Styela clava: one gene and its partners. The protein of the gene in region 4 purifies or fractionates together with the protein of the main gene of each other region. This does not show direct contact. Links are inferred from orthologs where the notes say so. Each region holds a gene or a part of one and is shown on either strand. Other genes may lie near its edges. The genes, in order: PAX3- and PAX7-binding protein 1-like, autophagy-related protein 2 homolog A-like, tuftelin-interacting protein 11-like and histone deacetylase 11-like.

The links.
Region 1: the proteins of histone deacetylase 11-like (region 4) and PAX3- and PAX7-binding protein 1-like purify together in Homo sapiens (co-immunoprecipitation; 3 studies listed by BioGRID and IntAct, counting the BioPlex papers as one, with this or other methods). This does not show direct contact. The link is inferred for Styela clava from reciprocal best matches to the Homo sapiens genes HDAC11 and PAXBP1.
Region 2: the proteins of histone deacetylase 11-like (region 4) and autophagy-related protein 2 homolog A-like purify together in Homo sapiens (co-immunoprecipitation; 3 studies listed by BioGRID and IntAct, counting the BioPlex papers as one, with this or other methods). This does not show direct contact. The link is inferred for Styela clava from reciprocal best matches to the Homo sapiens genes HDAC11 and ATG2B.
Region 3: the proteins of histone deacetylase 11-like (region 4) and tuftelin-interacting protein 11-like purify together in Homo sapiens (co-immunoprecipitation; 3 studies listed by BioGRID and IntAct, counting the BioPlex papers as one, with this or other methods). This does not show direct contact. The link is inferred for Styela clava from reciprocal best matches to the Homo sapiens genes HDAC11 and TFIP11.

The regions. Positions count from the first base shown.
Region 1 is NC_135260.1:20,023,532-20,030,471, forward strand, and holds the start of PAX3- and PAX7-binding protein 1-like, read right to left. Parts: upstream 3,004-6,940; 5' UTR 2,930-3,003; coding exon 1,656-2,929; intron 1,275-1,655; coding exon 1,123-1,274; intron 1-1,122. UniProt on the Homo sapiens protein: Adapter protein linking the transcription factors PAX3 and PAX7 to the histone methylation machinery and involved in myogenesis.
Region 2 is NC_135259.1:16,431,314-16,438,663, forward strand, and holds the start of autophagy-related protein 2 homolog A-like, read right to left. Parts: upstream 3,025-7,350; coding exon 1-3,024. UniProt on the Homo sapiens protein: Lipid transfer protein required for both autophagosome formation and regulation of lipid droplet morphology and dispersion.
Region 3 is NC_135264.1:14,210,476-14,218,116, reverse strand, and holds the start of tuftelin-interacting protein 11-like, read right to left. Parts: upstream 3,008-7,641; 5' UTR 2,818-3,007; exon of another isoform or gene 2,813-2,817; intron 2,216-2,812; coding exon 2,013-2,215; intron 1,294-2,012; coding exon 1,153-1,293; intron 880-1,152; coding exon 710-879; intron 25-709; coding exon 1-24. Other genes in the region: protein FAM81A-like, read left to right, coding at 3,420-3,460, 3,937-4,033, 4,492-4,629, 5,023-5,126, 5,798-5,927, 6,446-6,559, 7,096-7,224, 7,597-7,641. UniProt on the Homo sapiens protein: Involved in pre-mRNA splicing, specifically in spliceosome disassembly during late-stage splicing events. Intron turnover seems to proceed through reactions in two lariat-intron associated complexes termed Intron Large (IL) and Intron Small (IS).
Region 4 is NC_135252.1:6,045,657-6,053,529, forward strand, and holds histone deacetylase 11-like, read right to left. Parts: upstream 3,015-7,873; 5' UTR 2,553-3,014; coding exon 1,461-2,552; 3' UTR 330-1,460; downstream 1-329. UniProt on the Homo sapiens protein: Responsible for the deacetylation of lysine residues on the N-terminal part of the core histones (H2A, H2B, H3 and H4).

The DNA of each region.
Region 1 (6,940 bases), on a different chromosome or scaffold from region 4:
ATGCATTTTGATGGTTGTTGCACATTAACAATAAGGTCATCAAACTAAACAGGAATTTGTGACCTCCCTATTTCCTGAGAACCTGGTGTTCTTTATACTGTATTAATCATTGTTAGCATTTTGCTAAAAATTACACAGAGAGTAAAAGATAAAGATAAAAGTTAAAGATTAATGCTAATAGGATTAAAATAGCCCGAAAGGCTTTGCATGCCCTATCAAAACTGATTCTATTGGAATTGAGTAAATTGAAGTATCGGGACCTCTTAGTGAACACCTGTCGCTGTCATTACCCTGAAACTTAGTTATGCAAAATACCAGCAGTATTTTAGATGTAATTGCACATATATTATCACAATATAAAAGAGGGAGTTTGTTATTGTACGATGGAAATATATTTAGGATTGTGCAATAATATTCAGTTCGATTTCAATCAAAAAAATATTCAATTTTAGACAGCCCTAGTTACAAGGTAAATTTGGATATGAGAATAGGCAATCTAATGAAGAATACAAAATATCTGTACCAGGTTTGGGTTAGGCCAGGGGTGGGCAACATACGGCCCGCGGGCCGGGTCCGGCCCACGACGAGATTTTGACCGGCCAGCCCGCTGACTGTACATCAGTACATTATGATATTACATTATTACAGTTTTAGTACATTATGATAATTCATTATTGGTTTTTTGGTCTCTATTTATTTGTAGTATAAACTTTACTTTAAACGCGATTTAAATTTTTTATTTCTTGCATTAGCGAATAAATATGTGATTAAGATATTGAATACTATTCATGTTATTATCCGGCCCACCGAGGACTTCATTTTCCCACATCTGGCCCGTCGACTAGAGAAGTTGCCCACCCCTGGGTTAGGCCATAGTGTTATTCCGATTTTCCTTATTTTAGTTATATTATGAGTTCCGGGGACTGTCCGTGTTAGCCAAGTGAATATACATACCCCTGCTCATAGGCTTCAGTCTCTTTACACAACGCGATGTAAAATAGGTGAACAAAATAAGTTACCTCCATATTGGAACACATACTTCTGGAGCGCCCAAGTAGCAATAGCTCAATATCAGCAGCTTAATTAATATAGGAAAAATAAATAAATTAGCGCATAACCTACCCAGGCGTTCTCTCACTGCTCTTCTTCTAGACTTTCTTGCTTCCCGTTCCCTTATTCTGAGTTGTTTGCTTTTATCGACAGCAGAAGGAGCAATTTTAACATTAGAAAGTGCACAAGTAATTTCAGACGACTCATCTGCAACATCTTGTTGTCTATGAATGAATCAAAGAATGGAAGGTTGGCAAAACAGAAAGCATAGTTGGCAATAAATATCACAATTTTATGTTTTTAAATATTGAATGTGTCTAAATCTCATGCAAGCATCATGTATCCAACATAATGAGTACAAACTTGATAAAGTAATACTAATAGCTCGAATTTTTTAAATTTCTCCTTACGATAATTGGTAACAAAGCTAAAAATATATACATAGCGGTAGTCAAGGTAACACAATTTAAGTGAATATTTTCGTATGGATCCAGAAATCTTATCCTTTGTACTAATGATTCCTTTGCATTGGGAAATTTTTTCCAAATGTGATTTAGTTTAGCCTTATGAGAATATCAACAACAAAAAAAGAAAAAACTGCATACCTTCTTGAAAGAAACACATCAGCTTTTTCCTTCCATATTTTATGCCTTCTTTTCTCTAGGGCCTCTATTTCCACATTTTTCTCACTGAGGCAATCAATTAGGTCAGTCAAATATGCTTTCATGTCTTGGAAATACGTATACTGCTTAGATAGTGTTGTTACATCAGCGAGTTGTACAGCAGAATCTTCACTCTCTTTCACATCTAAGATAGCTCTTTCTTCATCTTGTTTATGAGTACGATGAACCTCTTTCACAGATTCCAATCTCTCAGAAATTCGTTTCTTTATTGCTGTCACAGTTTCACCAGGAGTCATGGCAATTTTAGGTGTAGCATTTATAGTAGGTTTGTAGTTCATTGTAATATCAGAGGAATTATAAGTCCCATTGGTTACATAAGTATTGTATGGTATATTATTATCAGGTCTGGGTTGTGAATCATCTTCCCCAACCCACTTTCCTACTTGCTGAGTGCTAATGCCCTTTTTGATCATTTGCGCCTCCCACAGATCAAATTCTTCATCTCTTTTAAATGATTCTTCTCCTTCGTTCCCGATTTCTTGTACTACTCTTGCTCCATCATCAATAACTCCTTTCATTGCAACCGATGGACCATCTTCATCCCCACTACTGCTTTCCAAATCATCTTCGCGTACAAGTCGAGAATTGGGGTTCGTTTTGTACGAGTCTGTATTTTCAATTGCTATATAATCAGAGCCATATTTCCTCATCATCTCTCTCTGTTTTCTAGCAGCATGAATTCGATTAGCATCTGGAATTTCACCTGGTCGTAATTCTTTAAGCCCACCATTGGTAGGTTGTCCAAATGTATTTGAATCTTGAGTATTATTTTCAGAAATGCTCCCAAAAGGATGAGATGGTGAATTCGTAGACTGCAGAGACTGGGGTGCCATAGAAGATTTCTTTAATTCAGCTAGACGCTCTTTCGTATATTCACCACTTCCAGGCGAATCGGGTTGATCTCGTTCTTCTTGTGCAAGTTTTTTAATTTGTTTGGCAATTCTGCGACTTCTAGAAGACTTTTTCAATTGAAAAGTTTCAGTTTCTTCTTCTTCATCACCTCCAAAACTTAGGATTGCTTTTTGCTCTGGCTTTGTGGTTTCTGCTCTTTTAGCCTTGCTTTTTTTCTTTTGTTTTGCTTTCAAAGCAGCGATATTAACGCCATTATTTCCTTCTTCTGATGCAATGCCATCTATACCATCACCATCAGAGTCTTTTCGTTGCCGTAAATTTCTTTTGGAAGTTTTCTTGAACATGATATTTTATATTATGATATATCGTAACTTAAAAATTAGATTGAAGAAGCATCTAGTGAAGTGAAAAGTAGGTACTTCCTATTTAATTATCATACCAAATTTGTAAGGTACCTGATACCTCAGAACATAACAGTGCAAGAGGTTATCTGATGAGCAGGACTAGGCAGCTAGGTGGTGTTTTTTTTTGTTATACAAACCACATAGCAAATAACAGAGAAAAAGCAAAAGCACAGCCATAGCATGCAGTAAACAAAGCTTTAATGAACATTTTTCATTCTAAACAACATTGAGGAGCACTAAATGAAAAAGTTCCTGAATTTTATTCAAGAGGCGCTTCATGAAAACTTCATCAGGATTTGTGGACGCTGGACGCTTGTATGACACTGTCTCAGATTGATTCAGATTTTCTATTTGTATTTTCAGCGATCTAGCAGAACAATTGTAAATATGCCGACGGGTAGAATATTTGCAGAAATTGCGTTGAATTAGCACGTATTTCTAATGCCACACTTTCAGATAAAGAAGCAATTGAGACTTACAATTATGAATATGATGACGCTGATCTCGTTGAAACACAGAATTTCCAGAACAATATTTATGTAGCTAAGATTTTGAGCCTAAAAAATCAGACCATTTCAGCATTTTGACTGTTGAAATTTATATGGACAGACAATAGCAATCTAGAAACAAATCCAAAGTTGTAACTTAGTCGTGTTTTGAAAGTCCGAGTGTGACGCCGTTCACCCAGATAAACAGAAACCTAATTCAACGTTCGGGGGAGCACAGTTTTTCTTTTGCTCCCAATTTTTCACAACACCCTAAAGGCAAAGGTATTGCAATCCATGGGTCTCATGTAGTTTCTTACCTAACATACTTCTAGTGGGCGTAGCATGAAAATTTTTTCACGTATCAATCCTAACCCCCACCTGACTACACCATCCAAAAATTACGTCATTACGACGTCACAGTGACGTAATAGAGCCCTTCAAACTATACGTACTGCCATCCAAGACGCGCAAACGACCACCCGAATCGAACAGTTACCGTAGTTCTCTCGTTTTCTCGTCGCAACGATTCCAATAGGAGAGAGACCGATAACGTCAGTCAGTTTTTTATCGTCGGCGCCAATGCCGTTTCGGGCGATCGTGCGTATATTTGGCAAGCTCTATGCCGTGATTGTGATGTCGTAGTGATTAAATTTTTGGATGGCGTAATCAGATGGGGGTTAGGATTGACATATCAAAAAATTTTTATGCTACCGGTACGCCCACTAGAAGCCAGACTGGATTCCATGGCAGGTGCACGCCCGAGGGCGCTAGCGCTCCGCAAAAATGCACGCGAGCGAAATCAATTTTGCACGCCGAAAATTTGCAATTGCTCACCAATGTAAATCGGTTTAAATGGTTTTAAAATCAATAATCCAGTAATATAAAGATGCCAAAATATTATACCTCCACAATTGTCGACAAATACCAGCTTGCAAGATTTGGTCTGATCGAAATATTGCGAAGCAAAAAGACCATGGACCTTTCCCCAACCTTTGACCCGCGAAAAATTCCTCTCATTGTTACGTCCTTTTTTGCATCTTGCTGATTGGCCAATGTCACGAAGTAAACAAGGAAGTCGATGCTCGGAGAAAGGTCCATATCGTGTTGAATGATAGGAAATAGGAATCCCGTGAGAATAGTTATGGACGAAAAGATCGCCTCCGCACCAATGGCCAAGTACGGCTCTGATTCAGCGTATTTTTCATACAATAATTTTGCACGAATGTACTGAACAGTACCGGTATCTAAAGTTGCTCGAACACTCCCAAAATTAGTGACAAAGTATGAAAATAATGTTTGGGGTCAAAGGTCAAACGTCCATTTTGCTCTAATTTGACGTATTTTTTATCCATTAATTCTACGTAAAAACACTACCAAAATTAATGACAAAGTATGTCCATTTTGCTCTGGTTCAACGTATTTTTTATCCAATAATTTTACGCGGATGTACTGAACAGTACCGGTATCCAAAGTCGCACAAACACTCTCAAAATTAGCGACAAACTGTAGAAATAATGTTTGGGGTCAAAGGTCAAACGTCCATTTTTTTCTCTGATTCAACGTATTTTTTATCCGATACCGGTAATTTTACGCGGATGTATTGAGAGGTATTTGATGTCAAAGTCAGTTGCACGCGAGTGCAGTTGTTTTGCACGTCGTGAGCTATAATTGCACGCCAGGAATTCTTATTTGCACGCGGGAATTTCTGATTGCACGCCCGATTTCTCGTTCAAAAAGGCCATGAAATCCAGACTGGACTAGAAGTATGTTAGGTAAGAAACTACATGAGACCCGAACTTGCACTAGTGCAACATCGGGTAAATCCCCCCAGGGAGTCGGAGTGTTGAAAAGTTTTAAAAATTCAATATATACTGATATATGACCTAAAAGTATTGCTTTCACTAAAAATATCCGATTTTCTCACTGCTAAAAGATAAAGGGGCCCAGAGAGGGTTAACCAGACTCTCCCCTGGATGAATAGAAAACTCCTATCCTGATACAGTACGGTATTACTAATCTATAAAGTTATACATTGATGATTAAAAATAAATATGAACATATGGATACAGTACGTATCGGTACGGTACCGTACTCGGGTACTAAAAATGACCAAATTGACCCTAGCAGACATCTCTCTCGTTTTTGAAACGGAAAAATAAAGTTGCCAGAAAACGATTCAACATGGCACATAAAAGCCACGACGGAAGAAAGGGAGAGAGAGAGAGATTTATTTCCACAAAAACAATGAAAAAACAATATTAAATAATATCGATAATTTTTTATGGAGTTAGATTATAATGAAACAATAAAAAAACAGTATAAAACAATATCGATGTTTATTATAGAAGTAGGATAGGATAGGATTTACATATTTATCCCGGGGGAGAGGAAAACCGATAAGACGGCTTATCCATATGGCGAACCACGGCCTCTCGTCCGGTTACCATTCCAAGTCGGGTATGGGATTAGTTTTTACTGTATTGTTTGTTTTCGGAAGCATGGACTTGGTGGTGGAGGAAGCCGTAACCGACCAGCGGTTACGTGAACCACCCAACGACGGCGAGGAGTCCAGCAATCCTCTCGCACATAACCATCCCTGCATGGGATTCGAACCTGCGAACCCACGCAGAGTAATTAGAGGTGCGGTGGCGAGCGTATTCCTAACGCTTAGCCCGTTGAGCCACACCGCCGCGCCTTGAGCCACATCGTTTTGTGTTGGCCAGTATGCAGGCTGGTGGCAAATCAGTTGACAAAGTTACGACGAAATTTCGCTGCACTCGGTATTCCACAAAAACCTCTGTGATTTTCAACGGCCGGCCACATTTGAAATCATCTCGATCCAATTTTTAAACAAATTTGTATGTTGGGAAGTGGGAACACATAATAATATCTTGTCAAACATGGCTCAAACAAGAATTTAACATCAAAGTTAATACTGAAAATAAATATCAGTTTTAAACTCAAAGATTCTGTACTTTTCGATTACGTGTCTAACTTTCAGGTAAGACATCCCAAAAGAACTTACTGTGAAGTCATCTCGGACCAAACTCGAACCAGAAAAAAAAAGTTTCGGAAAAATTGTATGTTGGTAACATATAATAACATCTTGTCAAACATGGCCCAAATTTGAATTTTACATCAAAATTCTAACATGCCAAACCAACGAGCCAAACTGAGGTCCGTGAGACAACTCGGCACAGAAGCACCTTGATATAAAGTAAAATTTTGATGTCATGCTTTTACAGTGTTTCTCCAAAGCACGACACGCGCTACCGAAGACATTATTACGTAATAAACGTTAGTGAATGTCGCAAGTATGTACCGTGAATCGGAGCGTATTGTTTAAGGCAGTGGCTCCCAACCAGGTAGCCGCGCCACAGCAAAAAGATTTTGGTGTGCCGCGAAGAGATTTCATATTTGAATTTATTTCAAGTGATTCCATTTCCAATCCCTTGAATTCCAC
Region 2 (7,350 bases), on a different chromosome or scaffold from region 4:
AAATGGTGAAGGGTTTGCATCAGAAGAGCTATTATGTGAGCCAGACATGAATTCTTCATCCAACCAAGGGTCCTCAGAATTTTCAAACTTCTTTTTAGTTGGTGATGGTTGCTCTGTTAAAGTTGTGTTACCTTGTAGAAGAACGTTGTTGCTTTCTTCATGACTTGGGTTTATTGTTACTTTAATATGTGGATAATCCATCCCACTGTTTGCATCAACATGACCTCCTAAGGGTCCGATCACAGATGGACTTTGACTAATGCGTAGAAATGATTTAGGTCTCTCTGGTTCATCTGAGTAAAGAACGTGTAAATCCTTTACTGTGATTTCGAATTCCTGTCGTTGCTGTGAGCTAGATGAGCTATGCGTTTGCCATTTCTGTCCAGAACGAGATCCTACTTGTCCACCTGATCCAAGCGAAGAAGTTAGGAAAGCAATGTCATGAGCTTCAAGAATAAGTGTTTCATCTCGTAATGAACGATTGTACCATGGTCGTCGCTCCATTTCCGGTCTCAAATCTGCGATTGGAAATCGGAAATTGATTTTCAAAAATGATGCAGAGATGTTCAAATTTAATTGACGATCCTTATTATCCTCTGAAAGAGCTTCATTGAAAGCTGCTTGTTGGCTGTAAGCATCAGGAAGACTGTGAGCATAGCTTGTAGGTGAGAACATACTTGCGGCATTAGATTGTGCTTTCGTTATTGAATCAGGGGGATAAAGCAGTGTGCTCAATCGATCTACAATGCTAATATCAACTTCAGATTCACAAGCAGAGAGATGAACATGCAATGTTGTTTTAGAAGATCGATGACTATCAAAATTATTTATACTAATCTTGATATCAGGTGACATTTCCGATTGTGCTGTTTTCACCAAACCACCGGCATAAGGTTTAGGATCGAACACCAGAATTTCAGAATGAACAGAAACCTTTTTCTTTAGCACTGGAGAGCTTTTCGTTTTCCCACTTTTTAAAGAAGATTTTCTGGGAGCATCAATAAACAAACATTCAGTAATTTCAGCTTTACCAAATGAAAGTTCACTGCTGGATGTTTGAGATGTTTTTTGCTCACTGTCAAGATGTATATGTGCTGCTGTGAAACGAAGATGATCATGTGGACAACACACTGAAGCTAAATCACTTCTTAAAGTGTTTATATTTTTGTTGGCTTTGAGCGTTTCGTCAAGGAGGGTTTCACACAATGCATAATACTTATTTGACATTTCAACATGGCAGTTTGTAACACTTGTATTAGAAGAATCAACGTTGCTCTCTAAACTTGGCTGAGGTGTTAAGGACGAATCGACTTTATGGGAATGTGTGGGCGACGCTGATGGCGGCAGAGGATTTATATGAAGTACCGTGACTGCCATTGCTCTGATATGAAACTGATAATGACAATGGTTCGATGTTGTTTTATCTTCTTCACTGCGACTTGAGTGATGCCGTCTCAGACCATGTGGAGATGTACCATAACCATTGTATTTTGACTGGGCATGTTCTGTGCCAAAATGGTGATGGCCTCCACCCATTACTTTCGACGAAGGGTGCATGGGTGTCATTCTAGAACGGTTAGTATAGGCAGATGATGGCGTAAAACCTGTTGATTGACTATAAATTGAAGTCCCATATTCACTGTTTTCATACTCTGCTGCTTCTTGGGGAACATGTGAATACAATTTTGAACCTTCCATCGAAAAGAACTGATCTCCTTCATCAATATCTTGATAAGGCGGATTCGCCAAATAAAGATCTTCATTTCTTTGTCGATTACGTTTTCTTAATTCTTCTCTGTCTTTATCCGACGGTGAGGTCATTGCATTTGTAGGTGATAATTTTATCCCATCATGGCATGTTGCGAAATTATTTGTCTGCATTGATAGAAATTCATCTCTTTGGGGGTCGGGACTTACTGAAACAGGAGTAGCAATTCCACTTGCAAATTCCGCTAATAGATGGACTTGGTGTGGTGTAAGGAACATACTGCAGGATCCAAAAAAACATTCAGCATCAAGTTTCGGTGCAGATACATGTTCACTTTGCCGAATACGAAGTTTAACCTCTTGCCAGCCAAAAAATTTTCCAATTACAACTGGGCCATCGTATTTAGTTTCCTTCTGAGGCTTATCTAGTCTCTCCTCTATGATTTTCATCGTTTCAAACTCAGTGTGCGATATGTCAATTGGTTCTGTACCTCGTGCTTCTGGGCTGCCAGTTGACCCAGGTGGAGTTGTTCTCAACTGCTCTGGAAATTCATCCATAAGTATTTTGATACCAGTGGCTCGAAAATGCTTGCATGTAATACTCTCCTGTTGGTAAACAGTTTTTTTGTCGCCAGTGTGTTGAGGTTTCTTCTCGTGCGCTGGGGAAGAGTCATTCTTGTCCTCCATTGTAATTTCGTCAAAATATTCAATACGCTCTATATGAACTTCAAGACCAATACCCGTTCCAGAATTTTCCGGCAAATGTTCAACGCGAATCACCATATCTGTTAATGAAACCTTAATTTTTGATAGAACAGTTTCAATAGTTTGCGCAAAAACTTCAAGTCCCTCAAAAAGTCCTCCAGCAGATGTGTCTTGAGCTTCATCTTCTTCTTCTTTGAGGCAACCTTCAGCAAGTTGCATTGATGTTGTCATATTCCCAAGGCTTTTATACAAAGAATCAGTCATATTTCCATGATCTACGTCAGTGCGATACTTCGGTTGAAGCGTCACTTCCAACCCCTTGATTTCAACTTTACAATTGTCACTCAGTAATGCAGACCATGGGATTGTGACGACGATTGATCCAATAAAACCATCTACAATTTCCATAGGCACATGAGCCTGGTCTAACATTCCATTTAAAGCCCATATATCGAGTGCAACATCATTTACATATCCAGTTCCGTTATATAAATCCACACTGAGCTGGTCTAAGCGAAGTTTCTCCTGCAGGAATTGTCCAAGATAGTGCTGTAATAAATATCGGCATGCTCGCTTTTTTATTGATTCAGGCCATGAAGTAAACCACGGCATTGTGTCTCTTTTATCTCTCTTTATAGCATAAATAAAATAGTAGTTAATCAATGTACTTAAGAAGCTGGATTCTGGAAAAGCAAAAACATTTTAGGATAGCAGCAAAAATCTGCAAACAAATCATTTCAATGGCAGTGATTTGAATAACTCATGTTGAATATTATTATAAAACTAGTTGATAAACTGTAGTATAGTGAAGCAGCACAACCAAGAGTTATATCATAATTAGATGAACATACTAATATTACAGTAACAAAAAACAGGAAGTAAGATATAGTATTATAAGCAGTTTCTTTTTGATTGAGTCCATAATCATTAATAATCAGTATAAAGGCAACAAGTGAATGATAAAAACATATGGTGAGTAGCATTAAAAAGCATGCCAGGAAAGCAAACAAAGTTTGTAATAGAAAATTCTTTCAGATAATTGGTATCATTAGAAGAAGCATGAGAGTTTGAACAAAAACATGTCTATTCTCTCGCATGCGCAATTCAAAAAATAAGAATAAAAACGCTATCTTATTGAAAATAGTTCGACTGATTTGCAATATCTTACAGGGATTTTCATATATATATATATGTGCATATATATCAATATATACCTTATATATGAAGAATATCTGTAGTGTTCAATTAATACAACAGTTCGAATAATAAGCTTCTCCATGAAAAATATTTATATTTCAGTGTAACACTTTTATATGAACATGCAAATAGCATACAATTACTCCCTGCATCTGGAAGACTGAAATTTTGTTACCCAGTAGAAAATATACCATAATAAATTAGTTACTCTTCACTAAACGATATACAAGTACAAAAGTCTAACAACAGGAGTTATGCCAACACTTTATATCTGTGTAAAATACATACCAAACTAATTTTTAAAAAATTAAAATTTATAACAAAACAGTTTCAATTTAGTCCAATCGCATATTACAATTTTTCTCTATCCAATTGATAGTTCTCTCCCCGAAAATAAGGAAATATTCAAAATGAGAGTCGCTGTTTATACACAACCTCGTTGGAGTAAAAAACAGGTAAAATTGATGACAGAAAATTCGGACTATATGAAATCTTTTCTCATATCTATATTCCTTATACTATAAAACAATTGAAATAAACTCCTAACTATCCTACCATCTTTAGCTTGATTAAGTTGATCAATTCAAAATGTCCAAAAAAACATATAGCCTGAGGGCATAAAACATCCAGACAAAATAAATCACAATAATCGCAGTAGTTATTTCTTTATGTAACTGTCTTTTATCTACATTGAAACTATCTTCACATTATTTAAATTACTCATTTAGTACAAGAGTAACTTATTGACAATATATTTGGATTAGGGTTGCCACTTCTGGATACATTTTTTTTTCGAATCGAATCTCAAATCAAAAATTTTTGAATTGAATCTTTCCGAATCTGATTCCATTATTTTTTTTTATTTTTTTATTGCATGCGTATTTTTGCTCAAAGTCACAAAAAAGCTCAAATCTAGATGAGTAAAACTAAAAAATGGAATAAGCTATATAGCAAAGATGATAAGGGTTTTTCAGTGAATAAGCCACACTCATTTCCATCATGATAAATGCATTGATGAAAAACTTGCTGTTGCAACTTATCTGTGAGTCTTACAATACTGAGTTATTATTGTGTTATACTTGTATCAGGACTGAGGCAATTTTGAGAAAAACAATGTCCGTTATGGTTATGACATTTGCTAGAAAGAATTCGAAATGTTTTATTCCCGCTTGTATCGCGCTAACAAAATTAAAATTAAATACTACTTTTTTTGTAACAGCTGAAAAAAGACGTGTATGTACTATTACATTATGTCCTTCTGATTTCGTTTACCGCCATTCGAGTGGAAGCCTGACAATTGCAAACAAAACAAATACATATTTTAGGATGAGAAACATGATTGTCAATTAACATTGCCGGCCGATGATTCAGTAATAGTTGTACGCGAAATATTTCAATCAGAGCAAAGTTTAAATTAAATTTCAATCAAAATTAAATATTATCTAGACGTCGGTAGCTGATTCTTTATCCAATCATGCCAGGGCGCACAATAACTTAGTCGCAGCGCAGGTGTGCTTTTGAAAATTTTCATCAAAATTGTCACAAATTTTTAGGTATACGATCTATTTAAATTCGCGCATAATAGAAACTTAGGCTATTTAGTAGAAACTGAACGTGCAGTTTGGTGGAAATTACGCCACACATCATCTCGAGTGAAGCGTAAACGAGTGTGTTGTGCCGAACTTGAAACAAATGACGGCAGATAAGTAGAAAAAGTCAATCACGAAATCCTAAAACCGATTCGGAAAAGATGCGATTCGAATCGATCCGATTCGTAAATCCAAAAGTGGCATCCCTAATTTGGATGTTAATTATAATATATAAAAACCTAAGCTTATCCTGTTATAGTAGGCACAATACAAAAATGTAATGAAACAAAAACATTGTAAACAACAAAAATGCATAGAATTTAATGATATATTTTTTGAGAAAAATTTTGCGAATGAAAACTGAAATTTTTTTTCAATCAGTTGGTGGCCGAAATGAAACCATATCTGAAAGAATTACATTAAACATATTACCAGAATGTGTAGCTAAAGAAGAGTGACGCCAAAGAAATTCAGCAAAATACCCAGCTAGCTTCTTCCTCTTGTTCTTTGCCTTTGCAGGGTGCCACAGAAGTTCAATATGTTTGGTATGGTCTTTACTGCAAGGATCCACAAAATTATAGCCCGCTTCTAATATCAGGTGTTGGGATTCTGAAATTTCTTCAGGTGATTCATCCTGAATGGCCCGAAACGCACTCCAGTCTTCAGTAAATATTATCGTTTCAGGGTGTATGTAATCAATTATTGGTGGAATTACAGTACTTTGTGTATCATCTGTAACTGATACCATGAATACTTCCTTGGTTTCGATACAAATTCCTCCAAACACCCATTGTTGTGGAAGAACTCGACCAACATGGTTTTTCCTCTTTGCGAAGTATACTTTATCTATTTCCACATGCTTATCTGGACCTCCGATAGTAACAGGATTTCTTAAAAGTTTCCAAAGACACACTTCTCCCATGTATCTATTCCAGTCAGTTATTATGTCTTTTTTCATTCCAAGTTCTGATTTACAATATTTTGCGGAAGCCAATCCACATGACCACGAAAAAATAAAGCGAATTAAATCTCCATATGGCAGCCTTGAACTAGCAAGCCAATTATCTGTTCGCACTCCTTTTTCTTTTCTACAGTTTCTTTTAGAGCAACGCCATCGATTCTTGTTTCCTCCTCCGAAAACTAGCTTCATTGAGTGTCCATTCGCACATTTTCGTTTCAACTGCAGTATTCCAACCTCTTGTAAATATTTGATGCATTTCTCTTCATTGTCAAGTTTAGGAATAAGCATTTTTAAACTTTCCATTGTAATACTCTTGTTTTCTCGAAAAAATAACACTTATTGGAAATATTACCAGATGATGGGGGCTGTAGAGATGAGGCAATTTAAAAGCAGATAGAAGATTGACAAAATATATTATGAGACAATCACAGACTCACAGTGTCAGCTGTTTTTGTACAGTAAATCATATAGCTGTATAGCCTACCAGTATACGGACCTAAGCTTCATAGGTCGAAGATTCCAGTTGTTCCAGTATTAAAATGATTTAGGCAGTTAGGGCACTACTTACTAAATTTTTCGGTAGACTCTATGACTTCTATTTAGGGGTGAGCTAAAAGGGTTCGGAACCTCTATTTTTGACATGTAAAAAAGGGTATTTTTCTGTATCATAAAAAGCAATTTTCATAGCTTTTTAGACACTCCTGAAGACTCTTGAAAATGAAAACCCAAGTTTTTCGGCCTGTGGTCTGACCTGCTAGGGTGGCTTACCCACTTTGCGGCCACGACCTATTTGCGACCATCAACTTCATCGATTAAATTAATGATGAAAAAATTAACAAACCGTGACGATATTTCTCACGCGTTATTTTCCACTTATCCCTCATAGTTCTGCGAAATTACACTAAAATGCAGCCACAAACAAAAAGTTACGACCGAAAACCAGACCGAAGAAAAAAAAAGGACCACTTTTTCAGGTCGCCAACTACCCATTGTTCCTTTAAAAAAGCTTGAAAATTCATACAAATATAAGAGATAAAGAGATGAAACTTGGCAGGTGGGTAGAGTTGTGTTTCTTTTAACCATCTTTAAAGTTTCGCGTTTCTACATTTGAAGGAGGGGGAATAGGGGGGTGCGCATTTCCAATACGTCGATAATATCTTTGTCCACCAATTTGCGACCACCGTGTTTTTG
Region 3 (7,641 bases), on a different chromosome or scaffold from region 4:
CCATTTTTTTCATCAGTTTCATACCTAAAAAGAAGTTAATTAGTTAAAAAAAAGGGACATAACAGAGATGCTAACGAAGAGGTCATTAGTGATTATATTGTATCGGTATAATCCATGGGTTCCCAAAGTGCCCCATTCAGAGCCCCAGGGCTCCCTGAGAAAAAACCCAGGGGCTCCGCGAGCTATTGTTTACTTATTAGAATACTGAATATTTTTTAAATATGAATTCATCCAAATCATTCAACAAAGCAATTTTGGTTTTTTCAAGGACATCAAACGGTAAATATTAATGTTTCTAGATGTGTTTTTATTTTTATAAAACAATAGTCAACCTCTTTATGGGCTCCATAACTCCAAAAGATTGAGAACCCCTAGTATAGTCAACGAAACTTAACAGAGGGGAAGAGTTTAATTTGGTTCAAAATAGTCTGTGGTCCTAAAAAAGGTTAGACACCCTATTCTGGGTGTCTGACAATATCTTCTGTTTAGGAATCATAGGATAACCACTTTAGGGGAAGAACAGTGGTCTGATGGTCACACAAACGGGATTCATGTAAGCAACATCTACCCAAACAAAAAGTTGTGTTCGCCCCAGTTTTACTATCTCATTTAAACAGTAGTAATGCAGACAAAATGTTTGTTCCCCAAGTTTTAAGCTTTCATTTGTTAAAGAAAGACTGAAATTAATAATGAAATACTAATAAATTACCTATTCCCTTTGTATGCCTCTCAAATGACCCAAATTGCGTCGCCATTTTTTCTTTCTGTTTTTGTTTCGCTGTTAAACTATATGCATGACCACCAGATCCACTAGTCCCAACGGCTGAGGTCGAAGGCTTAGGCTTTGGTTTCTGGACTGAGTGTAGAGTTACAGGTTTGCTGAAATAAATATTAGTATTGAATATATTATAAGTTCTTACTCTAATACAGAGGTGTGCAACACTATTTGTTGATGGTCCATATAACCCATTTCAGACATTTAGCTGGGCCACAAAAAAATTAGCGGAAAAGGCGAGAGAATTTGTAACTTAATTAATTAGTTTCATGTCTCCTTAAAAAATTGTCTACGTTCCCCACCGTTTGAAAACCACTGCTCTAATAAAAGCAAACATAATTATTTTATAAAAATTAAGAATTGAAAAAACAATATACGTTTCTTTAGTCTGTCTTCCTTCAACATCATAATCATCCATATTCTCTTCCTCTTCTGGATCATATCGTTGACGTTTTTCTCCTTCTTTTAAACCTCCACTGATAAAGGTTACTGGTGCTGAGAAATCGCGTTTCTTTTTGCTGTAAAAATTAGAATGTGTAGTAGATAAAAAAAAAATTGTTTTGTCACTAAAACCTGTTATAAAATTTGAAAACACAAATTATCAATACTTTACTTAATGTTCATTTTATACTAAAAAGAAAAATTTATCCTAATAACTTTTGAAGCATTATCAATGAGCTTATAACAAATTTCTTAATAATTTCAGTCTTGAATAAATTTTTGAATTGATGCTTAATACGATAGATCAGATATACATTGATTCCACATGTCTTTGAATAAGTTGGAAGCGTTCGAACTCTTGTTTATCATTCCAGTTCAAACAATTCATGCCTAAAAAAGTGATGACACTTGTGAAATAACCTTCTCAAGCAATGAAACTAGAAAAAAAGGGGAGTTTTCTTGTAAACTGAAAAGTTAATTTTGCATCCAGCATTGCATCCCCCTCCAACTGCTCCCTGAACACCGTAGAGGGCAACGGCCCCTGGTTGGAAATCGCTGCTTCAAACAATGATTGTGATGCCATAATGGTTATAGTGTTGGCATTGCGCATTAAATATCTCAGATCCAAGCCTACACTTCACCCAGGGCATAATAAACTGGAAAGAGAAAAGGTCAAAGATATTCCGGGTCATAAAAAATAGTAGTGCATACTAATGGTTGCCTTGTTTGGAGGAAATCTCACATAAAAAACAAACTAAAAATCGATTTTTCAATTTGACAGTCTTGAATAACTAACCCATAATTGTTCTCAGATGATTTTGCCCAGATTCCATAAAGAGCTTGTTCCTTTGTTTGCTTGAATTGTGGTCGATCTGGATTAAATTCGTTAGCAATGTCATCATTCGTTAATTCGAATTTCTCCATCTCATTCTCTTCTTCACTATCAGCGGCAAACATGGCCGCTATTTTTCTTTGACGGTTCGACATTTTGGGAGGCATCTGAAGACAGAATTAAAATGGTAAAAATGAATAGCCTATATTAATGAGCAGGAGGTTCGAATTTTTTTAATTTATCGCAGGGATGAGGATAAGATGGCTTAATCATAAGACAACCAATTGTCTGGGTGAGCATGTTGCGTATCGGGATAGTAAACAAGTCTAGTAATTAGTTTCACATCCATAGACTTGGTGGATGCGGTAACTGACCAAACAAGAGCTACGAGTACAGCAATTCCCTAGAACTGTGCTTCCCAGCCAGTGGGTACCATATTCTTAATGCCTAGCATAGCACTATGCAACATACAGCATTTGACTATCAGCAATAAAAAACATAAAGATAATATATTAAATAAAATAATATATATAATATGTATATAGGGTACATATGTAGATTAGATATGCTTTTACAAATTTCCTCATTTTAAACATTCGCAAATTCATTCAATCATCCTAACAAATTCAGATATTACAATAAAGCAAGGAAATGCCTGAATGAGGTCTTTTGGTTGTTCGAAAATATAGTTTTATAAGCCCAGATACGGTACCGTACCTACTGAGATATGCTGCTATCTGAAATGTATAATTATTACAGCTTACCGTACCTTCAGCAAGAAGAAAATCCAGTATTATTTCTCCTCACGCAGTCACCAGGTCACAGACTCATAAATATCCACAATTTTTTTGTCCTTTCTCCGTTTTTTAGTGACAAATGATTTCAAAAGCGTCATAAATCCCGTAAAAATAATTAATAGTATCGTAATAATTAATTAATAGTAAGGGAGATGCGAAAAAACATCTGCAAAACAAAAAACAAACGACATTACATTTTAGCCTTTAGTTTTCAGATATTGCAAGAAGTGATGAAATAAAATAGAGAACATAGCTGTGAAATCCATATTACGGTACAGAAATACGATCTGGCAAAGTTAGCATTTTTTATTTTTTTTTTTATTTTTTTTTTTATTATTTTTAGTTTCCGAATTAGATCAAGATTATTAATCATTTTTTTAGAATTTTGAATATCATGGTTTTGATTACCACTGTGAATATTTACTAAAACTCAATGGAATCGCTAGAAGGAAATTACTGACATGCATGAACAGTTACGTTTCCAACAACGCTGAGATTTTTGTGTTTTGGTGACATTTCGTGGATTTTGCGTTATCAAAATCTCCCGGAAAAAACACGGAAAGATTGCGAAGTTATGTCCGATAACGGTTACGACGGTACAGTCGTTGTTAGAAGGTATGTGCTGAATTATTTTTTTTATATACGAAGTAATATAACCTTGTTATGAAGACAGAATCCAAATGTTTCCAACTTTTATTGCTGTTATTTATAGATGACAAGACGCGTGTTTGTTCCGTTTATGGTACCCTTGATTTATGACCATAAAGTTATATTTTATTTACTTTTCATGCTGTAGATCTATAGGAATATGATTGGCGATATTCAAATTTTTGTAAACCAGACATAACTTAAGTTTATGTCATATTTTAGTATTTGAAGTTAGGCACAATATCCAGATATGTTTTTTTCTGATTTCTATTGCGTGGCAAGGTTATATATACATGATTAGACATGGGTAGTAGAATTAGCTATTAGCGATTACATAAACCACTATTTTGCAGTATTAATTTGAAAACATTGACTTCCAAGATTGGCTTTCATGAAATTGAAGTTTTTATGTCTAAATGAAAATAACTTCTTGATATATTTAGATCTGATCGTCGGGGTAATCGTAGATTAAATCATTTGGAGGACAGATTGTTAGAACAGGAAAGAGCAACTAAATCATTGATTGAAAAAGCATTTGAAGTAAGTTTCAACAATCGTTTCTTTTACAATTACTATTTGTTCGATTTGAATATATTTTCAATCTTCTTTTTGCTGTGCACTCTGTTATTAATAACATTGTTTTACTGCTTCTATCAATATGATATTTAACTCAAATTTGTCTTAATTGCGGACTGGAGGTTTTGATCTAATTAAAGCTTCCCAGCTTATCTATAATGTAAAAAGTCAGATGATCAATGTAAAGGGCAAATAGTATCCTCCTTCACATGACAGAGCCTTGTTTGCAGTTTTTTAGGTTCAAAAAAAGTTAGGCTACTCAAGTTGCTACTCAAAGCAAAGTGACACAAACTTACTCCGAAATTAAGGAGACTGATCTCAAAATGAAATTACGGACGACCACTAAATGTGAATAGCTACTTTGACTATACTAATACTTAGGCTATACTTACAGTAAAATTTCTTTATTTTTTTATTCTCAGTTCAAAGAAGCTTTATCCAGTGATATTCGACCATCAAGTATGGATGATGCATTGCAGCAATTATGGCACGAGCATATCAGAAGCGTAACAAGCTCTGTTAAAAAGTTGAGTCGAGATGTTGAAGAACTTAAATTTGAGGTAACTTTTTAACTCGGAGTTTATCGGCATAAAGCCCTAGCTTTCTGTCTCCGTGGGCTCGTATGGAGCGCTTTGATGACATATAATTTAGAGTTATACTATGATGAAACCCTGCTATCTAAATTTTTTATCTAACGATAGTATATGACTTTTCTCTGAACAAGACTCTGCACAAGTCAAGTCACCACTGCTAGATAAGGAGATACCATAGTTTGGAAGCGCCGTAATCTTATCAGTTCGATACCGCCTACCTAATTCATCAAATCCAGGGTAAGGCGGTGGTTGTGGAATTCGAACCCAAGATTCCATTTAGTTATGTCATCACCGTTAAGTCGAATGCTTTACCCATCAGGACCCCATATCTGATTGTTTTTGAAATGATTGCATTGTCAGATTTCATCCAGAGATCGTGGAATAGTGGATGCTTCCTATCAAGCTAAAAATGTTGAACAATTTGCTCATGCGGGGGTTGCCGATCTGAGAGGTCGTGTGGCAAGGTAAGACTACTATTGTTTATTCTATCAATTCCACTCCGTTTTTGTCTTATCAAAAATTTAGTTGCTTTTAAAGCTAAAGCATTGATGATAAGTGTGTAGAAGCGTCGCTGTTGGCTAAATATCTGGAATGATATTGTACAGTATTCCCGTATTCTTTATGAACAGACGAACTTTTTCTAGTTTTCAAATTTGATATTGGTGAAAATAAGGAAAAAATATGGCGAGGGTTGAAAATTGATTATGGAAAATTACCACTTTTTTTTGAGGGCAGGAAATAAGATGGGGACATAGACGAAGTAGATTGATTAATTTTTATGTGCTGTATTACATTGATAGCAACTATAAATTACCCATTGATTTCTATGATTAGACAAAAAATATTTTTAATTTGATTGCACACTCCATGGCTACTCAGTTGTTATTGTTTATAAAGTTAGTAATAGATAATCTCTGGCTAAATTTGGAGATGATTTGGTAAATGTGTTGCTGTTGACCAGCTGCCACTTACATATTAAATGTATTCTCGTATAAATTGGTATTTCAATTAATTCTTGCATAAGTTTTTTTGGATATTTTCTCAATTTAGCATTTGGTCCATCTATATGAGTTTTGCTTTTATAGTTACTCCAAGATTTCAGTACATTTTGCTAAACATTTTTTTAAAAATTTAGATGTGATGCTCTGATTGCCAGACTTGCTCAAGATGTAAGGTCGGCAACATCAGCCAATGAACTAGATAAAAAACATGTTGATCAAAGCACAGACACAAATAAACATAAGATAGATCATCTTGAAAGAGAGGTTTGTAGCTTGTATATCTATAAAAGTATGCAAGAGTTGAACGCTTTGTAGGTTTTTGATTTGTTTTACTATATTGACATTTTAGCAAAATTTCCTTGGTTGTGTCTTGTTTGTGTTTAATTTGAACCTCCATGTCATACTCACTTTCAACTTTTATATTTTTGTATGCAACGAGTTGTTATACCTTCCTGGGCTAATATTGATTTTAAATTAAGAAATTTATATTAGGTATTTGTTATTAATATTTATTGTTAGACAATCATGGTCCAGACATAAATGTGATAAGCATGTCCTACCTGAATGTGTGAATGCCAGATGGATGTTTCATGTCTTCAGTTCTGTACACCTTATGTCTTTCGCTTTATCCTATATTGTTCATTATCTAGTACTGAGAAAAACAGGCTTTCCAATACGTTTGCCAAAATCCTTTCATTTAAATTTGGTAGTCTCCTGCCATTTGTCTCTTCAATTTTAGTGTTCAGTGGCTAATACTGCCTTTTTCCTCAATTGTGCTTCAGATTTCTGAATTGACCAGAAGACTTGATATTGTGATGACTCAGCAGGAAGGGAAAATAGAAGTTATAAAAGGAACAAGCTCTTCCCAACTTCAAGCTATGGATTCGAGAATGAGGGTGAGCTTGCACTCATGTGATGATTTCACAAATACAGTGAAATTTGAAATTTTTTTAAATTATTACCTACGATGTAATCGATGAAACTTGTTTTTGAAACATGTTCGAAATGATTAAATGTTCAGCGAGCGTTATTATGACAGATCTGAAGCCTCTTAAATGCAAAAGTTGAGCCATGATATGCTATAACTTTAATGACAGTTTCTACTTTCTATAAACCTTGTTTGTACAGTTTTAACGAAGCACTGTAAAATCATAACATTAGCCGAATGAAAATACAATAAAGATCGTAATGTTTGACAACTTTCACTTTGATGAAAGAATATGTTAGCAAACAAGATATATTTTATTCAAACTCATAACAAGGCCCTGAATTAAGCAGCCAATGATATACAAGGACAAAGGTGCAACTATTTTTGGAAGGACCTAAATCTTTCAGGTTCAGCATTTACTACTCCATCCAATACAACGTTGGTGTGGCCATATTGCCAAGTGGGTAATGGGATAACAATTGAATTTACGGTTTTTCTCTGCAGCAAGTCTTGGAAGACATCAGACTTTCCATAGATAGTAATCGGAAATGGTCTGAGAGTGAACGAACCAGGATTGAACATCAAATTTCACAAATTATGGAACTGAATGCATCTCTGGCTCAAAGCAAACAGGTGAATAATATATGTCATTGTTTTTAAAGAGCCAAAATATACAAGAGAGCTTTGATAGCTGTTCCGCAACTATGCCACTAATATATAGGGAGTTATATGTAATGAAATCCTGTCTGGCATGAAAGGAAGCTCCTGAATGTAAATTTTCTCATGTGTTTCACTCTGATTAAGAGGCAAGACAAGCAGCCAATCTCTTTGATTCGGCTTCATTAATCCCAAGCCAAGGTTAGAACATCAAGATTATTAACCTTCAAGTTACTGCAACATCATCACAGTCAGCTCCACCGGACTAACTATTAGACTGAACACAAAGCATAAATTTCCACATCCTAAAATTGATAATTCAAAATATCTTATTTATTATCATGGCAGGATGCAATGGAAACAAGATTGCTGGAAAAGATGGATTCCTTGCAA
Region 4 (7,873 bases):
ATTGCTAATCCAGATATTCCTGTTATTTTTGCAATGGTCTTGGATCTTTTCAAGCTCTCCATATATTCCTGGGTATGAACTTCTTTCAACTCTGCTTCCGTAATTTCAACAGGAGTGGAGAATGAATTAACTGTCAAAATTTTTTGTGCAATAAGTATCTGACGAATATTATTTCCTTTCAATAAATCAAATTTGCCCATTTTTTCTAATCCCATGAAGCGTAGATTATATTCCGGACAATGAACCATAGGCCACAAATCATTTTTGTGCAGGTCAGAACTGCCATCCTCCCTGAGTTCAGTACTTGCACCTTGGCCCATACTGATATACTATGATTATTAATAATATAAAATGAAGTGACAGTGATAAAAATTTAGTGCATAAATGTGTAAAACTTTGTAATAATCATTTTATACAGTATATAATAAATGAAAAATAAAATTGTAAGAGGGAAAATGGGTATCAACGTTGAACACTTCAATTCCATTCCACAAGCACTTAAAATAACAAGTGCTTGAAAAATAATGGAGAGTAAGGTTTTGGCGAAACAATTGAAATTTTGAAAACTAAAAGAAATATAAAACTAGCATTTACATCAACATAAACTCAAATACAACTTATCACTTATTATTTTTTTTTATTGCAGATTTATGCATACTATTGACAAATGATAAATGCTTTCACATTGACAGTGAAATTGATACAAATATCCAAATCTGACTGCACATTTCTAATCATAAACTATGTTTTTAGGCATATAACATATGGCTGTCCTCGATAAGCATATGAAAATGACCATATCATTGTCATGTGTATATTCATGTGATGAAAATTAATATTGAAAACTATTTTTCAAAGATGCGATAAGCACAAATCAAATTCATCAATCAAATCAATCAATCAAATCCATAAACTCAAAAATATGTAAAATCAACAAAACCAAAATTTTTGGAAAGAGCATTTACTAGAGAAATGAATAAATACTGTAGTCTGTAGGTATTGCATTTAATCTAAATTTCATGAAACAAACAGAGAAAAATGCAAAATCGCCAATAAGGTTTCGATTTTGATACCGAGTTCGTTTGTTAAAGATTTACCACAAGAAGAATTATGATTGTAAAATATGAGTCAAATTAGTCTGACCACTTAGTTCAAATCAGATTAATTTTGTCATTTTCAATTGAACACTACATCCAATGAGGCAATTTGGGCTCCATAAGACATTTGTTAGTTGAGTTATGGATTAAAGTTGAGATGATGTAAGTGACAAACAAAAGAATAATATAATTTATGAATAATATATGTCAATAAACACAGTAGGCTTTTTCATATGAGGTCATTCGAGATATTTCAGGTATCAACTATAAATGTATATTATGATCATGGATGGAGTTAATGATTGCAAAAGGAAGTATGAGAATCACTGTATAGAAAGCTTCCTGCAACTGATATCACATTCATTATTCAGAATGCAAAATATTTTTAGGTCCAGTTATAAATCCATGACTATTGAGATTGAAAATTGAATCTGCTATTATTGCTGCAGTTGATCTTTGGTATCCACCAGACGTGAACATAACAATTGGAATTTTGTTTCTGTGGGCCACTTCAAAAACTATTTGATCTCTTTCAACAATGCCATTAGGTGATATATCAAGACAACCAAGTGGATCGCCGCTGAGAATGTCTGTTCCAGCATTGTACACAATATATTCAGGATTGAACAGTTCAATGACTTCAGAAAGGTTTTTTCTCACAAGTTCCAGATACTTTGAATCACTCGTTCCATGCACCAATTCCACCGGACGAGAAATGGCTAATTTAGCACGCTGATCATTCGGATATATTAAACGATTATACACATCGAAAATGAAAACTCTTTCTTCACCCATGAAATCATGAGCATATCCATTTCCCTGGTGAGCATCAAGGTCGACAATCAGGACTTTGTTTATGTCTGGAAAGTTTTCCCACAAATAACGAATGTTTAAGGTTATGTCAGCATAAGCACAAAATCCTCCTCCACGCTCAGCAGAGCAGTGATGAAATCCACCACCAATGTTAATGGCCCATCCTCTCTCCATTGCCAACTTCCCTGCCAAGATTGAGCCACCCGTTTGCAATCTAAATGGTCGCAGAACTGAGCGTTGAACAAAGTAATTAGGCAGCATTGCAACTGGTGGAACTTCCGTGATCATTGCTACATTCGCACTCCATTTTAAACTATTCAAGTATTTCTGGCTGTGTACTTTTTGCAATTCCTCTTCTGACGCTTCTAAAGGCTCAACAAATTCCCCAGGCAATAACATTTTCTTATCTATCAGCATCTGATGAACTCTTCCCCATTTGCCAGCATCAAATGGATGCAACTTTTCCATGCCTCCAAAACTTACATTGTAGCCAGAACTGTAGACTAATGGCCAGGCTTGATCCGAAATATTTAGATACAATCTTGGAATTCTTTCATTCGACTTATCAAAGCTTCTACTGTTGGGTTTATGTTGATTCCTGCTGGGTTTTAAAGGTCCTTGCCCCATATTTCGTACAGTCATATAATCCTATGCAGCTATAAGCATTAAAACAACTACTGCACTGTGACTAGGGGTGGGAAATGTTGAATAATTTATTACGGTATTTTAGAATACTCAAATCAAATCCAGAATACTGAATCACGAAATGGACGTATATATAGATAGTTTTGATATTATGTTCCTGTGGAATAAAATGTAAAAAAAAATTGTAAATGTATCAGTCTTCGCGTGTAATTGAAAATGTTCCGATCATTGGCTCAGGCCAATGAAATTCGATAATTTCTGCAATATTTTTTTTTTATGTAAAAACAAAATTTTATAATTAGTCACAAGTTATCACATTTTTTTTTTGACCTAAATTGCTTAAAAATTTTCCTGGCAGCATTACCGCTCGGTTATTGAGAAGACAAAGTTTTGCTGCATTATTAGGCACTGTATTGGGAGTTTTGATATATATGTGTGGTGATGTTTTGTCCACCACGGCACCTTCACCACAGTATATGCACGGCCAGTCCGAGACAACTGCAACTTATGCGCCGTAGCGGGTACCGCGCGGCGGTGTGGCTCAACGGGCTAAGCGTTAGGAATACGCTCGCCAGCGCACCTCTAATTACTCTGCGTGGGTTCGCATGTTAGAATCCCATGCAGGGATGGTTATGTGCGAGAGGATTGCTGGACTCCTCGCCGTCGTTGGGTGGTTCACGTAACCGCTGGTCGGTTACGGCTTCCTCCACCACCAAGTCCATGCTTCCGAAAACAAACAATACAGTAAAAACTAATCCCATACCCGACTTGGAATGGTAACCGGACGAGAGGCCGTGGTTCGCCATATGGATAAGCCGTCTTATCGGCTTTCCTCTACCCCGGGATAAATATGTAAATCCTATCCTTCCTTCCTAGTCTTCGCGTCAATTACGGGTGCAAACTATTGAATTTAATCGTAGTAGTATATATTTACGATTTAACCACTATCAATTATAATCAAGCATGGGTCAGCGTGTTTATTCTGTGAGATTAAGACCCGTAAAATAAAGTTACCGTAATCGTGATTTCGTACTTAACATGTAATAACATCCGATAACGAATCGCAGATTCCCGAGAAGGATGTAATTATTTGGGAGTGCAAAATAAATGTGACCAATATTTTGTTTGTGATGAAACTTTGTATTTTCGGAAGAGGCTTGTCGTAAATGTATTAAATCATTGTAAATAATATTTGATATAAATTAATCGCAAATAATGTTATAACATTTAACGTCTGGCTTTTGGTTTAGAATCTAATCTAATCTCTGATCTAAACTTCAGATCAGGGGTGCGGCCCGCAAGGGAATATTGTGCGGCCCGTAGAGAATTTTCAATGGTGTGCGGCTAAATTAGTTTTTACTTTATTTTGATCTGGTTGGGCTTCAAAGATAATATCCGAGTCCAATTTGCTATCTGTGCCTATGACGTTACAACGTCTCAACAGCAACGCGATTCACAAAGCTGCCACTTGCTGAACTGCGAAAAACTTGAAAGGAAATGCGGAGCAGACGCTAATGAACTTGTATGAACGAGCAATCGAAGATCAGGAAACTGGAAAGCAGTTTAAATTTTTAATATCAAGAGATGCAAAAACTAAATTGAGTTTGGTTCCAGTCTATCAGTTGATTTTGTCCAAATCTAATCAAGAATAAAATTTGACAGCAAATTATTCGGAAATGAATCTTGGCGTACTTTACCGAAAACATTTCAACCAAGATAACTTCCCACATTTGAAAAAGGTCATGGCTTCAAATAGGGCACTTTTCGATTACATCTTTTTGTTCAAAAACGGGCTCCATATCAAATTCGTATCACTTTCATTTAAGCAAATTTGGATAAAGAATCTAGCAGCAAATTTCTTACCGAATTCGTATAAAATGGATGTAACGATATATTTGAACTACAGTTTAACTCATCATTCCTGCAAGGACCCCCAATAATGACGATTTAGAATCAATAACATATAGACACTATTATGTGCCTACAGCTAATAGAAAGCCTATTGTAATGAAAGTGCGGCCCGCGGTTTTACCCCGTTATTGATATTTGGCCCGTCTACGAAGAAGGTTGCACAATCCTGCTTTAGATCATTGTTCTCGGTAGAACTCGTAGGCCGCGAAAAATCATTTAATCTAAAACGGAGCATGGTACGTCTGTGAGAAATTAAATTTTGTGGGTCATATGACATGAATAAAAATTGGTATACAAAATTGGGCTAGATTGTTGAAATCAATCACTAACTAGGTCGTAAAGCTGGAGAAAGAGAAAATGGTGCAACAACAAGTCTTCGCCGTGAGGCGTTTGTTCATTCATGGGAGTCTTCTTGATCTGAAGCGCTAAGATTTCCGTGTTTGACGTCTACCGCTTTTAATCAAACGAGAGAAATTTTGACGCAAGACGAAAAGCTCATCTCTGATTAATAAATTATAAAACCGGAAATACAAAAATTGACGAATGCTTTTAAAGAAGCGGAAACCAAATTCAGTTATCTGATCCCCTAATTGGATCCGAATCCTCCAGATTCGATATTCTGAATTGCCCATCCCTAACTATGGCACTTAAGTGCCACGGACAGAGGCTATTAATTATAGTAGCAGGGAATGGCAATTGGGGCGATTAGGTACGCAGGGCTGGATTAACCTTTTGGAAATATAAGCACGTGCTTAGGGCTCCAAGGGAGAGGGGGCACCGCAGAAAAGTACTATCGAAAAATCTATATTGGTGCCTTAGTAATGGCTATCAAGTTATTTGATTTAAAACTAGTTTTTGAGAATGCACTTGAAAACTGACTCACGCACAACAATGAAAACGAAGCAAGGTTCACAACGATGCTTAGATTAGAGATATACATTTCACAGGTTCTTGTATATACTTAAAACTAACTTAGACTACTTGATAATTTCATCTGATAAAATGGAGGGGAAATTTGATCATAAATGTGTCATTTTTCACAATAAATTCCCAACCCTGATTAGATGAATCCAAAATTTATCCTCGTTTTGTAAATAGTTCTCTATAAACTGAGAGTTAAAAAAAAAGAACCTGTATCAATTTATGTATTTATTCATGTGTTGTATTGGGTGGTAACTGACTCAGATGACCGTAACTGGTCGTATCGTTACCTCCCAGTCATACCGAAGACTTTTGTTTCACTTATTATGTTATTATTATATTTAATATTATGTGTTTTCTGGTTGACGAAATAATAAATTCTCTCTCTCTCTCTCGGTACCGACTAAATGTAGACCGATATATTTAGATTTGAATCTGGTCCAGAATGTTTTAAAAAATTATTTAAAATACGGATGTTGAAATTATTTGTTGCGTGGAGGGATTTTCCAATTTGTAAAATACCAACATATATATTATTGGTGATGTTGACGTTATCTCCCATTCATGTCACTTTTTAAAATGATCACCCGCTTCAACAGCCTGTTGTACAGGCTAATGTCCAGCTTCTTGGACGAAAATAAGTGCACGGAGTCGGAATCCGCAGATTTCAAGATTGTTCAGAGTAGAGCGCGATAGTTTATTGCCCTCAATCTACGTTACCACTGTGAAGCTAGCAGCACTTTCAGCCAGAATATTTTTACACATTGAATATAGGTTCCACGCGCATATAGTGTTCACTTATAGGTAAATATGAAAATTGAAAATGCTGATCAAAATATAATATTGTCACGAAAATAGATGAAAATTTTTTAAACTGAATGAATACATTAAATTTAACAAGAAAATAGTGTTCAAAAAAAGACTAACTAAGCGAAAAATGAATTTTCAGGTATTCCGCAAATACAAAGTTTCGGAAAATTATCCTTTTCGGAACCTCGATTCCTCGAAAACCGCCAATAAAGGCAGCACCACGACACATTTGGAGAAAAGCAGATACCATATTAATTCAATTTTTCTATAACAGAACAGTAGCAGTACGTTTTGGCTTGACCATATATATTACCAAACATATCGTGTAATCTAAATTTTAAAAACGGCATGGACGTAACAAATTTAAAATTGATTTTGTATTTCAACTATATTTGCTAGATAATGGATAAAATATCATTTTCTTTTTGTCACACATTAATACTGTACATCTTTTAAACTTGGAATACGTTGCGGGAAGTATAAAACAGCAAAAAATCATTTGCGACTCCAGGTGGATTCTGTCCTGGATTACAAAAAATTATCGTTTTTAAAATGGCGATTTTTCGAAAACCGCCAATAAAGGCAGCACTACGACATATTCGGATAAAAGCACATACATTATAGATTCGATTTTATTATGCCAGAACAGTAGCAGCACGTTTTGACTTGGCCATATATAATACCAAAAATAGCGTATATTCCTCGATTTTTAAAACAAAGGTACGTAACATATTAAAAAAGGGTTTGTATTTCAACTAAAGTTGCAGGATAATTGATCAAATATCTTTTTCTCTTTGTCGCACATCAATACTGTACGTCTATTAAAGTTAGAATAAGTTTCAGAAAGTATAAAGTAATAATAAAAAAAATTTTGCGCACCCCCTTGAATTAGGTTGAGAATTTCGAAAATTATCGTTTTTGGATTAGTGATTTCTCAAAAACCGCCAATAAAGGCAGCATCACGACACATTCAGAGAAAAGCACATACCTTATAGATTCAATTTTATTATGTCAGAACGGTAGCAGAACGTTTTGACTTTGCCATATATAATACCAAACATAGCGTATACTCTTCAATGTTATGAACAATGTGGACGAAACAAATTTAAAAAGGAATTGTATATCAACTAAATTTGCTGAACAATTGATAAAATATATATTTTTCTCTTTGTCACACATTAATACTGTACGTCTATTAAACTTAGAATGATTTGCAGAAGAAAAGTATAAAATACCAAAAAAATATTTTACGCCCTCTTCGTGGATTCTTTTCAAAATTTCGAAAAATTATCGATTTTGGAAGGGGAATTTCTCGAAAACCGCCAATAAAGGCAGCACTACGACACATTCGGAAAAAAGTATATACCCTATATATTTGATTTCACTATAACAAAACAGTGGCAGCATGTTTTGACTCGGCTACATATAATACCAAAATAGCGTGTATTCTCAGTTTTATAAACATTGTCGACGTAACAAATTTAATAGGGATTTGTATTTCAACTGGAGCTGCGGGAAAATTGATCAAATATATTTTTCTCTTTGTCACAAATGAATACTGTACGTTTATTAAACTAAGAATTAATTGGGAAAGTTTAAAATATAAAAAAAAACATTTTACGCTCTCTATAATGGGTTCTTTTCTGAATTCCGAAAAATAATCGTTTTTGAAAGGG